2 linked regions of the Oreochromis niloticus genome follow. The protein of the gene in region 1 purifies or fractionates together with the protein of each later gene. This does not show direct contact. Links are inferred from orthologs where the notes say so. Each region holds a gene or a part of one and is shown on either strand. Other genes may lie near its edges.

The links.
Region 2: the proteins of selenos (region 1) and derl1 purify together in Homo sapiens (affinity purification with western blotting; 6 studies listed by BioGRID and IntAct, with this or other methods). This does not show direct contact. The link is inferred for Oreochromis niloticus from reciprocal best matches to the Homo sapiens genes SELENOS and DERL1.

The regions. Positions count from the first base shown.
Region 1 is NW_020327524.1:62,358-70,394, reverse strand, and holds the start of selenos (selenoprotein S), read right to left. Parts: upstream 3,195-8,037; 5' UTR 2,989-3,194; coding exon 2,892-2,988; intron 2,615-2,891; coding exon 2,489-2,614; intron 1-2,488. Other genes in the region: chsy1 (chondroitin sulfate synthase 1), read left to right, coding at 7,375-7,697. UniProt on the Homo sapiens protein: Involved in the degradation process of misfolded endoplasmic reticulum (ER) luminal proteins. Participates in the transfer of misfolded proteins from the ER to the cytosol, where they are destroyed by the proteasome in a ubiquitin-dependent manner.
Region 2 is NC_031976.2:12,326,118-12,333,279, reverse strand, and holds the start of derl1 (derlin-1), read right to left. Parts: upstream 3,166-7,162; 5' UTR 2,978-3,165; coding exon 2,825-2,977; intron 1,407-2,824; coding exon 1,295-1,406; intron 1,187-1,294; coding exon 1,122-1,186; intron 468-1,121; coding exon 441-467; intron 1-440. Other genes in the region: tbc1d31 (TBC1 domain family member 31), read left to right, coding at 4,730-4,800, 6,932-7,075. UniProt on the Homo sapiens protein: Functional component of endoplasmic reticulum-associated degradation (ERAD) for misfolded lumenal proteins. Forms homotetramers which encircle a large channel traversing the endoplasmic reticulum (ER) membrane.

The sequences.
Region 1 (8,037 bases):
CATATGACAGTGTTGTTTATTAAAATAAGATAGCATTAACAGTTTGAGCATAGTTACAGTCAACAGTGAATATAAATGCTAAAACTGAATATATTGCATAGTGTTCCCCCCCCTCCACCATTAACAAATGGTTCAGCCCATAGCAGGTCCGGCTTTTTTCTTGTTTTCGGTAGCTAGCGATGTTTATGATTGTGCCAGAGCACATTTTGAACAACACCATGGGAATTTCGCTTTTTACACAGGTGGTTGGATGTTACACTCTGGAAATGGAAGGAAGGTGAGTGTTATTAACCCTCTGTGGTCCACGGACACGCTGCACCGCCAAATCACCAGGGTTTTAATAGTTTTGCAATTTTCATTAGTTTTTATTTTTATTTCGTTTTGACTTCAGATTTTCAATTTTATATTAGTTTTAATTAGTTGTTACCAATTGTTTGCTAGTTTAGTTTAGTTTTTATTTTTTTGAAAATCCTTAGTTTCAGTTTAGTTTTGATTAGTTTCAGTTATAGTTTTAGTTGTGTTTGCAATAAAGTGTAACAAAATCCCAGTTTCATCATATCAGTCATTCTCTTCTGCTTATCCTTGGGTATGTTGCTATTCCAGCTACCATACCCTGCACCCTGGACAGGTCGCCTGTCTGTCGCAGGGCTAACACGCAGAGAAAGACAACTCACATTCCCACCTATGGGTTCTTTAAATAAATAAATAAAGGCAGATGAACAACCATTGATACCAGGCAACTATAAAATGTATATCTTGGCCCCAATGAGACTATTAACTCTTGCAGCACTGGGTGTTAAGGCAATTGACTCACACAGTTATGTAGATATCCCAGTCCTGTTGTCTCGGGATGCATCACGCTGCCTTGCCTGGGGTTAGCTTCTGTTTCTGGGGATGAGGGTTGAGTGTGCTCCCTTACCTTCTCCAGGTAAGCTAGGTTAGCCTTCTTGTGTGAGCTTTTCAAGTGCACTTTAAGGTTTGTGGGATGTTTTTCCCTTTAGAAATGTCCCTCATAATTTGTCTCTTTCCACTACAAGACACTTGCTTTATCCAAAACACAGTCATATTCAAAGTAATCCCAAATTGGAAGCTGGCGCTTTCTCCAGACTTTTCCTGACGCGTTTTCTAAGGACAGCGCGAAAACAGTAAAGAAAGGGGAAAAAAACACCTCTTTCCTATCGGTGGAAAAATGTACCATATCGACCAATTTAAAAAAAAGTCAACACGTGGGATTTGGTTGTTTAGGAAGAGGGGAGAGTTTTGAGAGTGACGGTAACGGCAGCGAAACAGAGCGAGTGAGTGAGAGAGAGAGAGCGAGAGAGAGAGTTTTTAGATGTGGGAGATTTGTGACGTTTAGTGTGGAGTGTATACTTAGTGTGTTGTGTTGTCTTGTGTAGCTGTTCTGTTGTGTAGTCGTTTTGTTTTGTGTGTCAGTGAGGGCACTAATGAATGTCACAAAGGCACATTTGCAATGTAAACACTGTCACTAAGTAGAAAACCAGCGGAGTGATACACCTCCTGTTGTCAAGCCTGCAGGTTTATCCCTGTGATGTTCTCCTCTGTCTTTTGGTGGAAAACCTTTTTTTTTACTGGTTAGTTTTAGTAATATTTTGAAATGGTTGTACAAAATGAAAAAAACGGCAGGTGTATTGGCTGCATTTTTAGATAAATAGTTGTATATGTTTACAAAATGTACATTTTATATTTGCATTTCAAGTTATAAAAATTTACTCAACATGCCTGTGGGGTTTTTTTTACAGTAAAAAAAATACTACTAGGATTTTAAGTTCTTTGTGTGATTTCAGATCAGTAATACTAATGCAGTATGTCAGTGAAAAAAAACAACTAAATTCAGTTGAGCTGAAAAGAATGATACCAAACAAGGCAAGGAGGAATAAAATAAAATGAAACAATTTGAGGGTGAAATACAAACGTAAACTCAAAAGGAGTAAAAAATGTCCAGTTGTATTTCAGACCTCAGTGGGTTAATCCAACAAATCATGAAAAATTAGGTTTAAATTTTTGTTCATGACAGTGCAGATTTCTGACATTTTGTGTAGTTTAAGCATGTAACAATGGGATTGTTTTCTAACAAAAAACAGTGTGAAACTTAAGTTAGACTTGTGTTTGTAAATGAACCACCCCGTGTTGTGTAGCTTTCTGGATTTTATACTTATTGGGCTACATATTTATTTATTATACAGGCTATACAGTACATAAGATCAAAACTCACATGTTTTATGTAACTACGGTGTGTAATTATGTGGGCTACAGACAATAATTAAGTTATAGACTATATTTATATGAAAAACGTGTATACTTACTGCATTTGAATTATTTTAACCATATGTAACCACCTGCATATGTGTTTGAAAAAAAAGGCTTTGATTTTGCCACCCCATTTGATTTCTTTGCCACCCTCATGCCACCCTAAGAAAATTTCTCTAGATCCGCCCCTGTGTACAAATATAAAATGAGTTGTGCTGACCTTGTGAGTCTTGTGGCGTTGGGCTGTGCTGGCTTGATCTCCTCTTGTTGAAGTGCAGAATGAGCAGGTAGAACATTACAGCTCCAAACAGCAGGTACCAGCCATAATGGGCCACGAACTCCTCAACTACAGTAATTCAATTACAACAGAAATAAACAATAATCTAAGTAGCTGTGATATTGTTAACAACGAAACGCTGGAAACAACATTTTTTTTTCAATAAATATAATCTTAAAGGAATTAAATACTAAATATTTGGGGGTCCATCTTCAGCTCAACATGTCGCCTTTATCCCACCTTAACATGAGCTACAGTGGAACGACAGATAAGTCTTACGGACGTTAGTAACTGTATTCCTATATTCTTTATTATTTAAGTTGGCTAATTAAACGTGCAAGCTTACCAGTCAGGCTTAGGGAACTCAAGTCTTGGTTTTTTAAGGGTGGCTTCTTCACATGGAAAGTGGAATCATAATCGTCTTCGCTCGTTACATCATCCATTCCACACTCAAATGAACTGACCGTTTCAGTCACAAAAAGCGTCGTTGTACAGAGTAGTTTTGAAAACCTATCAGTCTTGTATTAGCTTGTATGGTAACTTATTTCTTTGCCAAAGATCTTCTTTAAAACTTGCTACACAAAATGTAGATGGTTATTTACGATGACGTGTTGGCGGAAGCCAGATGACTCATTCTAGCACACGACCACGTCACGCAAAAGAGGTCACTTCCTCTTCATACCTTTCATAATAAAGGTTAGAGACACAGATCATCAAACAAATTTAAATGTTGGGAAAAGATAACACAAGTAAACACAAAGTGCAGTTTCTAAATTATTAAGGTTACAAAAGATCCCAGAACAACACCAAAGAATACTATATCATCGTCATCAGGTGGGGACAATGCAAAGCAAACGTAGCCTATGTTTTACCTGATGGGGTACAGTGTTGCTGTTGATGGGTTGTTGCTGATAGTGCTGGAGAGCTGAGACTGTAGACATTAAAATCTCCATAGGAGAGCTGGTAGCTGATTAAACAAGTGTTATGAGATAATCCTAAAATGCAAAGATCTGTGACAGTGCTTGGAACCATAAGGCGACAGATTTTTTTTTTTAAAAAATTGTGGGAAATAAACTAGGCTCTGCCTGTGACTTACTCTTTGCCTCGCTTCCTCCTTCCATCTCCTCATCTCATCTATCACTGTCCATTTGCTGTTCATCTGAGAACAAGGCACAATTTGTTATTGCATTAATCTATTATTTTATTATCCACACTTAACAACTCTTGCACCATTAATCCATAATAAAGTAATGATAGAAAAATGTTATAGAACCAAAACATTGTAGTTGTGTTTATTATTGTTTTTCTACTTGAACACCTCTGCAATGCAACAACTGGTACATGTGTAATTGTTACCTGTGCTCTTTGTAATCCAGTTGGTGAGAGAGCCACTGTAGCTCATGTATTCACTGTTTCCTCCTCCTCTCCTTACAGGGCCTGTCTGGACAATGTTATATTGTGAGTAATAATTTTAAAATATCTATACACATAAAACATGCACACGCACATGCACGTACAGTGACATATTATACCTTCTCCAGAATACTTTGCATACTACAGCAACAGGTTTCAATTATGGTGCTGATCCAGAATCATTTCCTTATTATTTATTTCCAGTGCTATAATAATAAAGTAATAAGAATTTTTTCTGAAAAGTAATAAATATAAAATAATGTATTTATAATGATTCAGTTTGTTTGACTATCCACTCAGTGCAAGGCTTTCTGCCTTATTAAATGCTTAAACTTTAAAGATAATAATTTTGCTGCTATAAAATCAGCATTTGTCATATTTGAAATATAAATCTAATATAATCTGTTTCTTAATGTATTGTCTTTAAAATACATGAAATATCTTCCGCTTGTTGCTTTTCCTTAGTAGTAGTTTCTTAGCAGCTATTTGACCATAAAGACCTGATTCACACAGTCTCCTCTTAACAGTTGATGTAGAGATTTGTCTGCTACTGTAACTCTGTGTGGCATTTATCTGGGCTCTAATCTGGGGTGTTGTTTTGTGATTTCTGAGGCTGGTGACTTGGATGAATTTATCCTCAGCAGCAGCAGAGGTGACTCTTGGTCTTCCTTTTCTGGGGCTGTCCTCATGTGACCCAGTTTCGTTGTAGCGCTTGGTGGTTGTTATGACTGCACTTGGAGACACATTCAAAGGTTTAGCAATTTTCCAGACTGACTGACCTTCAGTTCTTAAAGTAACGATGGACTGTTGTTTCTCTTTAGTTAACTGATTGGTTCTTGCCATAATATGATTTCTAATAGCTGTCAAATAGGGCTGTCATCTGTGTACCAACCAGACATCTGTACAACACAACTGATAGTCCCAACCCCATTGAGAAGAATTATATAAATATAATTGTAAATATTTTGCACAATATAAAAGAAAAAAGAAGACCCAGGACTGTTGAGCAGGTAGAATTCATATCAGACAAGAAATAGACAACTTTCCTCTCCCAAAATTGCAACAACATCTTATTTCAAAAAGCAGGAACTCCAGCAACACTTGAGGAAGGGGGGGGGGGGACATAACCCCCATATCACCCCCATGTCAACCCCCCCCCCTCCTCATCATTAATGATCTAGTCCAGTATTTACTTGGGTGTGACTTAACCAATTAACCAATACCTACCTATTATATGTCAGCTGACCTATCTATGAAGTTTTGACTGGTTAATTTGAATTTCATTTTTTTCTGTTTCCTGTCTTGTATTTAAGCAATTCTTTACAATGTTTTACTGTGACCCTGATGAAGGCCACAAGCCGAAACGCGTTGGTCAATTATTAAAGTTGTTCTTCTTCCCTCAAGTGTTGTTGAAGTTCCTGCTTTTTGAATTCTTTTATCCTCTCCATGCACCTTGGAAGCAGGTGAAGTTGTGCCAGAAATTTTTGCTGCGAACAACACCTTATTTCCCAGACATTTGATTGAGTGTTGTTAAAAGAATGCAGGATGGTATACAATGGTAAATATGGCCCTGGTGGCCCTGATCTATCCATCCATTTTCCTCCTCTTATGCAATTCAGAGTCACTTCAGACTGTAAGACCACACTGACCAACCTATGCAACACCTAGATTGGCTACAAGAAAGCCCTCAGTCCCTCATATATGAATCCTGAAATGCTTAGAACTATAGAAGATGAACAGGACCGAAAGAGTCTTCATCAGGAATTTGATGGGAATGTGGTCAACAACCAAAGAGAGGGATGGTAGTCAAATTGAAGGGATTGTACTGCCAGAAGTCCTGAGGAGTCAGGACTTGCCTTTTATCTCTCTCCCTTTACCCCCAACCAGTTGAAACAGATGGCTGACACTACCTGAGCCGGATTTTACAGGTTTCTTCCTGTTAAAAAAGGCTTGTCCTTACCACTGTTGGCAAACATGTGATCATCGGGGGGCGTCTGATTTTTGTTATTTTCTCTCTATTATTGCAGGGTCTTTACCTTATAATATAAAGTGCGACTTGCACTATAGAAATAAAATTGAATCGAAATGACATATATATGGGAGGTGTACTTTGTATTGCAGAATTAAAAGTAAACATGGTGATATTTTGTGCTCAGTATTTTTTATTATCTCAATTGAAAGCACAAACAAGAAAAATCTTGAAAATAAATCTTCTTAATTTTTTTTAACTGTTAATAACAAAGGATTGTGTCGTTTAATTTCAGAATGTTCAGTTTGACATTTTTGACAAATAGGGAAACCATTGTTTCTTAAGAGGGTGGTATGTGTCAAAAAAAGAGTGCCGGCAGTCTTTCATGACGACTTTCATGAGGTTTTCCCAGCAGAACGTTGCAGTTCACAGAGACCGTCAGTTTAATACACGTCAGAAGCGCTTTTTATTGTGACTTATTGACGCGGCCTAAAAAGAAACATGCTGTAAAATCTTCCACAATGAAGACAAGGCACAGTTTTCGACGTGGTGACGAACACCACCACAATCACTTGGGGGCGCTAGATCACAGAACAAGCATGCTGCATTTAAGGACGTTAGACTTTCAAAACTTTATTGTGACTTGTTCTTTTATCGGCCACAGATAAAGGTAAAAGACAAATCTTAATAAATGACAGTGTAATAAAATGACATACCGATACAAATTTTTGTCTTGGAAAAACAATATTATGTTAATAGGGTTTTACATGTCACACTTAGCATTATCAGCATGTGTACACAATCAAGCAATTTGACTTTTGTTAGAACAGTTTCACGCAATAGCTTGTGCATTAGTGACACTTATAGTCACTAACTATATAACTACTACTGCTTTAATATAAAGATTTATGAACTATGGCAAAAAGAAGCTACGCTTTGTCTACATTTACACAGCAGATGAATTTAGATGTGTGAGTAGGGTTTCATACGCAATTTAAAGGCAGCACCGTCGGGCCCTATGCCACGGGGGTGGAGGCGATTAGAAGATTTCTACGGAACTGCCGTTGGGTCAAACCACTGTTAAACCCTTCGCGATCATTCTTCTCGACATTCTTGCCATGGCGAGATAATGGTGAGAGTCGGACCGCTATTGAACGCTAAGGGATAAAAAGCAACTGCGCTTTTCGATCGCTGTTAAATTCGTCCATGATCGACAGCGGGGGACAGCTTGATTGCCAGAAGGAGCAGGGACAGAGAATTGTTCAAGTGACGGCTTCAGTAAGACTGTTGCGATGCTACGTAGGCATCTGGAAGAAAAGGGCTTTTCTACCATGAGAGATTGCGCGTGAGCCCGGTTTTCTGGCGGAAAACGAGCTCTATCGACCCAGTCTTTAGTATTTGTATCGAGACGATCTAGTCTTGCTTATTGCTTTTACCGACAGAGCTAATGAAGTTTGGGGGAATGGCAGGTCGAAGTCGAAGAGCCTGGTTTAGTGTTCTGTTGGGACTGGTTGTTGGGTTCACACTGGCTTCCAGGCTGATTTTACCCAAGGCGAGTGAGTTAAAGAAAGCTGGACAGAAAAGAAAAGCCAACTCTGCCGGGTGTGGGCTTAACGGGGGTCTCGGAAAAGAATACGGGGGAGTCTTGTGGCCTGAAGTTAACGGTTCACCGCCGACCGAGAAATCTGCTTCCAGATCTAACAATTTCCTATTTGTTGGTGTCATGACTGCCCAGAAGTACCTGAACAACCGTGCCGTGGCAGCACACAGGTATGTGATGCGACTTGGAGAACAATGCCCAAACCTATCAATTTAATATAAAAGAAATAAACTTGGAAACAATGGTGCACGGGCCTCTTGTACAGTAGCCCATTTAGTTAGCCGGCTATACTTATTATAATGTGAAATATAATAATATTTATATGTTACCACAAAAACATGCCACATTATGTCTTATGTGAAATGTATAGCAATGTTCTGTCCGCTACCAGCTCGTATGGAGTGTAAAACTGACTGTAAAACTCCTTTAACTTCGACTTTGGCATGGTTGTGGCTAAGGAGGTAGACGAGATCGTCGGCTGTAGATAATCAAACTGGATGAAGTTAATCA
Region 2 (7,162 bases), on another chromosome or scaffold:
CTGATTCATTTTTCTGCACACTGTCGTCCCACCACCACCACAAGGTCAATGTCGCATACCATCAAACAACACATCAGCCTGGCTCTGTCCAAAGAGAGTCAAATCCACTTACCAGCACGCTAATAGTTAATTTGATGCTCTTTAATCTGTGCAACTTTACTTTTTCCTAATGCAATTTCTTGGCCAGGACCAGAAAGAAATTGTCTGGATAAGCTTTGTGAAATGCCGCAGAAATTAGTAAGCTTTAGAGGAGCAGGTGGCAGCGTCTCTGCAGTGTTTATTTTTTTTCTCCAAAATGTAAACCTTTCCTTTTTAAAGTGGGTGTCTTGTGTTATGAAACACTCCTAAGATTTCAAAGGACGGTTGTAAACAAATGCTTTATATAGATGCTACAGCAGTCTACATGCAGAGAGAGAGAGACAGACGAGGAAGATTCTCACCTGCATGTTTATCAGCAGCCCGGTTATCTGCAGGTTGAGTCAAGGACGACAACAATACAATCACAGCTGGAGCTCTACAATTAGAACAGCTGGGGACCGGGAGGTTGCCTGTTCAAATCCCCTACACCGGTTTTTGGAAGCTGGCAGGCACCTCTGCCGTTTCCAGTTGAGCAAGGCATCTGACCTTGGAAGGTTACGCCTCCCACACTTTTTTTAAGCTGTTCTCACCATTTAGCTGAACCGACAAAGACTGAACATGTTGTTTGGATGAGGTAGAGTTTTGCTGCTTTTCCCATATAAAAGAGAAATGTCTGAGCAGCAAGCAGCCAATCTAAGCTGAACTCTCACAAGAAGACAGAGAGCTGAGATGTGGGCCTGAGTGTACTGCTGGTGCTGCATGTGACCTAGATTAGGTTTCTCTGCTCTGCAGGGGTAGACTGACACCGGGCCGCTGGCACAGAGCCACCCTGACATGGCACACTGCTGCAGCGAACGAGAGAGAGAGGCAGAGAGAAGATGAAAGAGAAATGCAGGAGAGATCAAAAGCAGGAGGGGTCAGAATGAATGGTAGAGTGGGAAATAGGCTAACAGCGAGGTAACTGGATGACGAAAGAATAATTTCCTGTTAGGTAGATTAAAATGTGAGATTTTAAAACAGGAATTGCCAATCTGAAAGGATACAACTATGCAGATCCAGTTGAAGAGAAGCATGAAGATATAGTCTGCAGGCCTGCCATCAAATGACCCTGGTATAAGAAAAAAAAATGAGGATGAAGATGATGATGACACAAATGAATACAAGATGCTAGAAAGAGCGCTGTATGTTTAGAAACCGCTAAGGCCGGTGATCTTACCTGTCTCTAGTCGAGTGGAGTAATGGTAGAGGAAATATAGGTTGACCAGGTAGAGGAAGCCGGTATTAGGGGTTATAGGGAAATAAAGAGTGGCTGTTACCGGTCTCCAGATCTGAAATAAGCAGAAGAGTTATTAACCCAACAGAAAAGCAGTAAGACATCAACGTCGCTGTGCCTGTTTGCACATCCAGATGTTCACCACCAAGTCTGTAACACATTAAGTCTCATGTGGGTTGCAAATTATTACTTCCTGTGTGGTATTCCTCTGCAGAGTGTGTGTTTCCTCACAGAAAGATTTGAAAATTGGTAAAAGAAGTCAAATCAATACCACATTTAAATGTTAAATTCCCATTAATCTGGAGGCAAAAGACAAGATGCAGTCACAATTTAAAGAAGTGTCTGATCATACCATTATCCAATTTTTGTGCTGTCCAACAAAAAAAAATAATCTTATTTTGTTGTTTGGGACTTGACAAAAGGTTAATAACTTTTCAATCAACAGAGTCTCATATTCAGTGCTTTCACACAGCTTGCGTGACCATCTTAACTATCACTTAACAATTTATAGGCTCATAAAGATCAGGGGGTTATATATAGTATACTGACTCTGCACTACTGCATTTTTATTTCAGTTTATTTTGCTTTCTTTTATTAGCCACACAATTGGCTGCCTACATAATGAAATTAACTGTGGTTTTAATCAACATGTCCTAAGATTAATAATCCACAGCAAGAAAGTCCAATAATTCCAGAAGGTGTATGGATTGTTCAGTTAAAAGAAGCTTATTCATTCACTTAAGAAAACACAGTAATACCAATGCAAACAAAGTACATAGCAAAGTACTGTATTAATGCTGTAATTATGTATATTTAATATTCTTCAGATTATCCCTTAACTATAGCTGTGAGATATATTTCCATTTACTGAAGGTGGAATGATGACATTTCCTTCTAAGTTAAGTACTAGAACTGATATGAAGTGAATTACTTGGTAGCTACTTTTCAGCACTTAAAGTGATCAGACTGGTTGATTCCCTTTGCCCTGAGCTGTGTTTGATTACTGATTTACACCTATGCCCTAACCTTGCATGAACCCACTGTTAACCTGATTTAGAGGCCTTCACAGTGCCTGAGGGCCTAATTTCATAACATCCCCTGCAATACTTGTCTCCACCTTGTGGACGAGAGCGCACTAAAACTAACGTATATTATCGCAACAAATGCTTTAAAATAAAACGTGTCTCTACTTCTCTGGTAATTAAATTATAGAAAATATGTATTTGTTTTCACTCGTCTTATATTTAGTTTACATTTCAGCGTTACTACATATCCAAGCATTTTGACAGCATCCGGAAGTCCCACCCTCCTGCGTCTCGTCCTCTCATTGGCTGCCCCACACTCAGGCCTGCTGAGTTAGCAGTGCTAGCCACCTGCTAACTAACTCCTAGTTTCCAAAAGACAGTAACTCAGCATTTGTTCGCTATCTAATCCAACAGACAGACAAGTTACCAAAAACCAAGAAACACTCACATGAAATCTGCTGAAGACCATCTCCGGAAATAGCAAGAGATTCCTGAAATCAACCAATCCCAGTTTGCCTATAAGGGGAACAGCAATGGAGGCAGCGAACCAGTACCGGGTGATGAAAGGGATGCTTCTGAACCAGTCCCCGATATCTGACATCTTTCCATAGGATTACTGCCAACTTTGAGACCTGAAATAAAATTTCCTCTTTAACAATTCCCTAAAGTCCTTCCCAAACCAGCGACTGCTTCCTGTCTTTATATCACAACTGCTCCACTGTTAAGTTTACATGACGTGGCTAATCACAGTGAGCTAGCTTCAAAATACGACGAAGCCACTGACATCAGAGAGGAAACATCCGGTTTAGCTTCTCAAAGTAAAACCTAATTGACAACTGTTACCACAGACTGGATGAAACAAAAATCTTTTTTACTTACTTTGTGACTGTTACTGAACTAGAAACAAATAAAATTATAAAAATATAATTGAAATTATTATTATCAATCAACAAACTACGTTTATCCGAGGCAAATAATGGCCCACCCTGGTTACAACATGTTCAGCCTGCTTTCCTCAGGGAAGCGCTACAGGTGCATCAGCACAAAAACCCACAGAGTCAAAAACAGTTTCTTCCCTAATGCCATAACCACCCTGAACTCACACATGCACAGATAACACACACATAAAATGAAGAATTTTAGAGGAACCTTTCCTGCTCGCACTGTGTAAAAGTGTTACAAAGGTCCTTAGGCAGTATGATCAGTTCGTGCGGTCATTTATAATATTAAGGATGTGCATAGTTGACGATAAAGTGTAAATAGATGCCAACCCGTGTGCTTGCACATATATTGGCCAAATTTGTTTCTAATAAGCTCTTAATTTAAAAATTTAAACCGGATGTGTTTTCAGTATCTAACAATATCTTGATTGCCTTGCATTTTATTGCACTTCCTGTGAAATTTGCAAACACGCTCACTTGACCATCCAGAGGCAGCCAGCAACACAAAGAGGCGTGCCGAACGACGCAGGTCTCGCGGCCCCCTGTGGAGATCTAAACACAGACCACAAGAAGAGGACTGGGGAAGAAATAAGGCTTTTTAAAAAGTGGTGGCGATCAGTTAATCGTAATTATTTATCCCAGGGTTCAGTTGCTGGAGTTTACCTTTTATCTTTCACTCTGCCTTTAAAGAAGAGGGTGAAGGATTTCGATTTTTTACTTACATACTTAAGTATTAGAATGGCTTTTGGATGTCTGACATATGAGATAACAAAACTTTGATAATAATAAAAACAACAAAAACACTATCATAATAAAATGAATAACTGGCAAACTGGGAGCTTTACTGTGTGGATGTGGATGAATGTATGAATAAATAAATAAAATAAACAAATATACACTAATACATAAATAAACGTCATGTATTTAATTTTAAATGTTATTTTAAAATAAAAATTTACTCAATATTCACTTTTTTTCTGGGTATTGTTAAAAAGGAAAAAAAAATTTACAGGGGTAACAAAGCCTCGCCGTTTACGCTCCTTGGCCACGCCTTCTGACGTATTTCGTCAATTTTGGGCGACAAAAAACTGTTCTCAAAACCAACCAATAAAATAAACAACAACAATAACAGGTGAAGAAAACCTGTTCGTAGGGGGTCAGCTAAACCTTTAGGGCACTACTTAAATCTGAATTACATTGCTAAGCTTTTATCGAGAGCATAAACGGCTTCTCTGCTCATTACCGCACTTAGTCAATGTTACTCTTTTAAATTTGCCGCTGTTTACCCCGCCTGTTAACAGATTAGCCGGCTAATCTGTTAGCGGAGAAGCCATGCAATATCATAGTGACATTAAGTTTACTCAAGCGGTGTTTTGTAAATTTACCTCCTGAACTGTGTGGACTTTTTGAAAATGGAGGTGACGGACATTGGGAACAAAGAGGAGGGTAAAATCTGGTATCGAAAGCCAACACCGGGGAAAAGGTAGGTTTAATTTTCCCAAAAGTCTTATTTAGTTTCTCAGACTGTCAGCAGCTGATGCTGCACGGACTCATTTACATGCGGGTTATCTTTATTACACATACCGCTCTAAGTTGCCAGTTTTTATTGCCGTGGTTGCTGTATTTTGGCACTATTACTGTGAGTATTTCTACTGTTTCTGTTGGTATTTACATAACGAATACTGATTCGTTACTACTGTTGTGATGAGTTATTTTATTTACTAATTGCAATCAAAGATTTAGTTGTGTTTTACGACTTTATTAAGGCCGCAGTAATCCTGGAAAACTATGAAACTTTAACTGTAGTTCTAGCAAATTGCAGCTTTACAAATGATTTATGTTTGAATGTGAATCAAATTAAAGGAAATTTTGAATAAATAAATGAAAATCTTCTCTACAGGTCTCTGACTGGCTTAACGAATATAAAAATATTGCGACTAGTGCTCTGTGACCTCTTCCAAATTTCACCCCAATGAAACATCCATGGAGGAGACATGGATGAAATTGTCTATGGCATTTATTTGTTTGCTTGTTTAGTTCAGTTTCTTTTGAACATGGAAGCAGTATAAAGAAAGTCATGCAGAATACACTGCTTCACTTTGGCTGACGTAGTTTACATATCCAAAAGAGTAGGAAGAAGTGCGCACTTATTTAACCCCACCCTTTGTCCATAAATCCGTTATTGTTTATCCTGCCTCTTTATTGATATAAACCTCAATAACAACAATATACATATTTATAATTTCACTTTCACTTGCATTTACATACACTGTGTAAAATACAAAATCCATTTAACCACCCATTCTTTTTCAGCTTATCTGATTCTGGGTTGTTGGGGTGGGGGCTGGAGCCTATCCCAGTTGCAATAGAGTGTCCAGGTACACCCTGGACAGCATCATGCAGGCCAATCATCCTTACACTCACACCAATGCAAATTTAGAATCACCAGTTAACCTAATCCCACTAACTGCAGGTCTTTGGGATGTGAGAGGAAGCCAGGGACAGAAATATTACCATATGTAGTTTCTACAGCTCCATAATTTTACATCCTCTCAAGAAAGACAAATACCTCCAACTTTGGTGTGTTGATTGCAAAATCTGAATAAACCTGGAATACCAACTAATTAACCAGAGACATTAATTGACATTCAAACATCTTTCTCTTTCTTATACCTCACGAAAACCATATCTTTATACCTTTTTCTGAACTGCTTTATGTTGCACATTGCTTCAGTTCGAAATATTTTCTTGTAGTACGCACAGTGACTGTTTTAAAGTTGCAAAAACCCTTAACTCTTTAGCCCTTGAAACCCTACTAGGAGTAAAACCTTGGAGGTCTTTTGTCGCTTTCTGTCATATTTGGTTATAGAACAGAACGAGTGAGTGTGCGTCAGAAGTTAAAGAGGGTGGTCTCTGCCTCTGCAGCTACCCTTGAAAAAAAAATGGAAACATCACATGGTCGTCACACCACATCTTTGATGTATACTAACGTGTCATAACTCATTATTAAGGGTCCATGGGAGGTCATCAGATGTCATCTTGGGGTCGTTAAATTATGTAGTTAAATTACGAATTCCTTCTCTTACAGAAAACATGCTTTGAATGTCTCGTGCTCTTTGATTATATTTTGCTCTGAACGAAATTTATGCAAAATTTGTATAATACTTAGTATCAAGCAAATTTTGTTCTTGTCATTTAGGTCATATCCTTGTTGCTAATCATTCATTTTTAGGACATTGGTTATTGTTTTTAGTAAATATTAAAAAATGCGAGAATGATCTATTACTCACTCGTTTTCAAGCATTCTGTCACACCACCATCAAGGAGCCCAGTGATGAAATTTGATTTTGATTTCAGTTCTTTTATAAAGAATCTGTGCCAGTGAGAAATTGTGCTATTCCTAAGGTAATGTTAATGTAGCTCCCCATTAAGACACTTTCAATAATTTTTCATCCATCAATATTCCACACCTGTGTAAGTAAGACCTCAGGTGGTTGCTGCACATGTGGAGAGAGAGAGGTCTTTTCCTAGGTGACCACTAGGGAGCAGCCATGATTCACTCAGACACTCTTCATCTTTCGTCTCTGATGAGGTGTGTTGTTTGCCTTTTTCAGTGTGTTAGTAGTGACTGTGGTCCGCACTGCTCAGCAGGCCAAGACGGTGCGTTTCCTCCACGTGGCCTTCGACACCACCGGTGATTCCTTCCTGGCTGGGGATCACCATGGCAACATTTATGTTTTTGACATCAGTAGAAACAGGTGTGTGGCTATGAGTGACACTTGGTTATTTAGTATAAATGTACAGAATTCTGTATTGTTTAGGATTTAGGACTTTACTTTTCAACC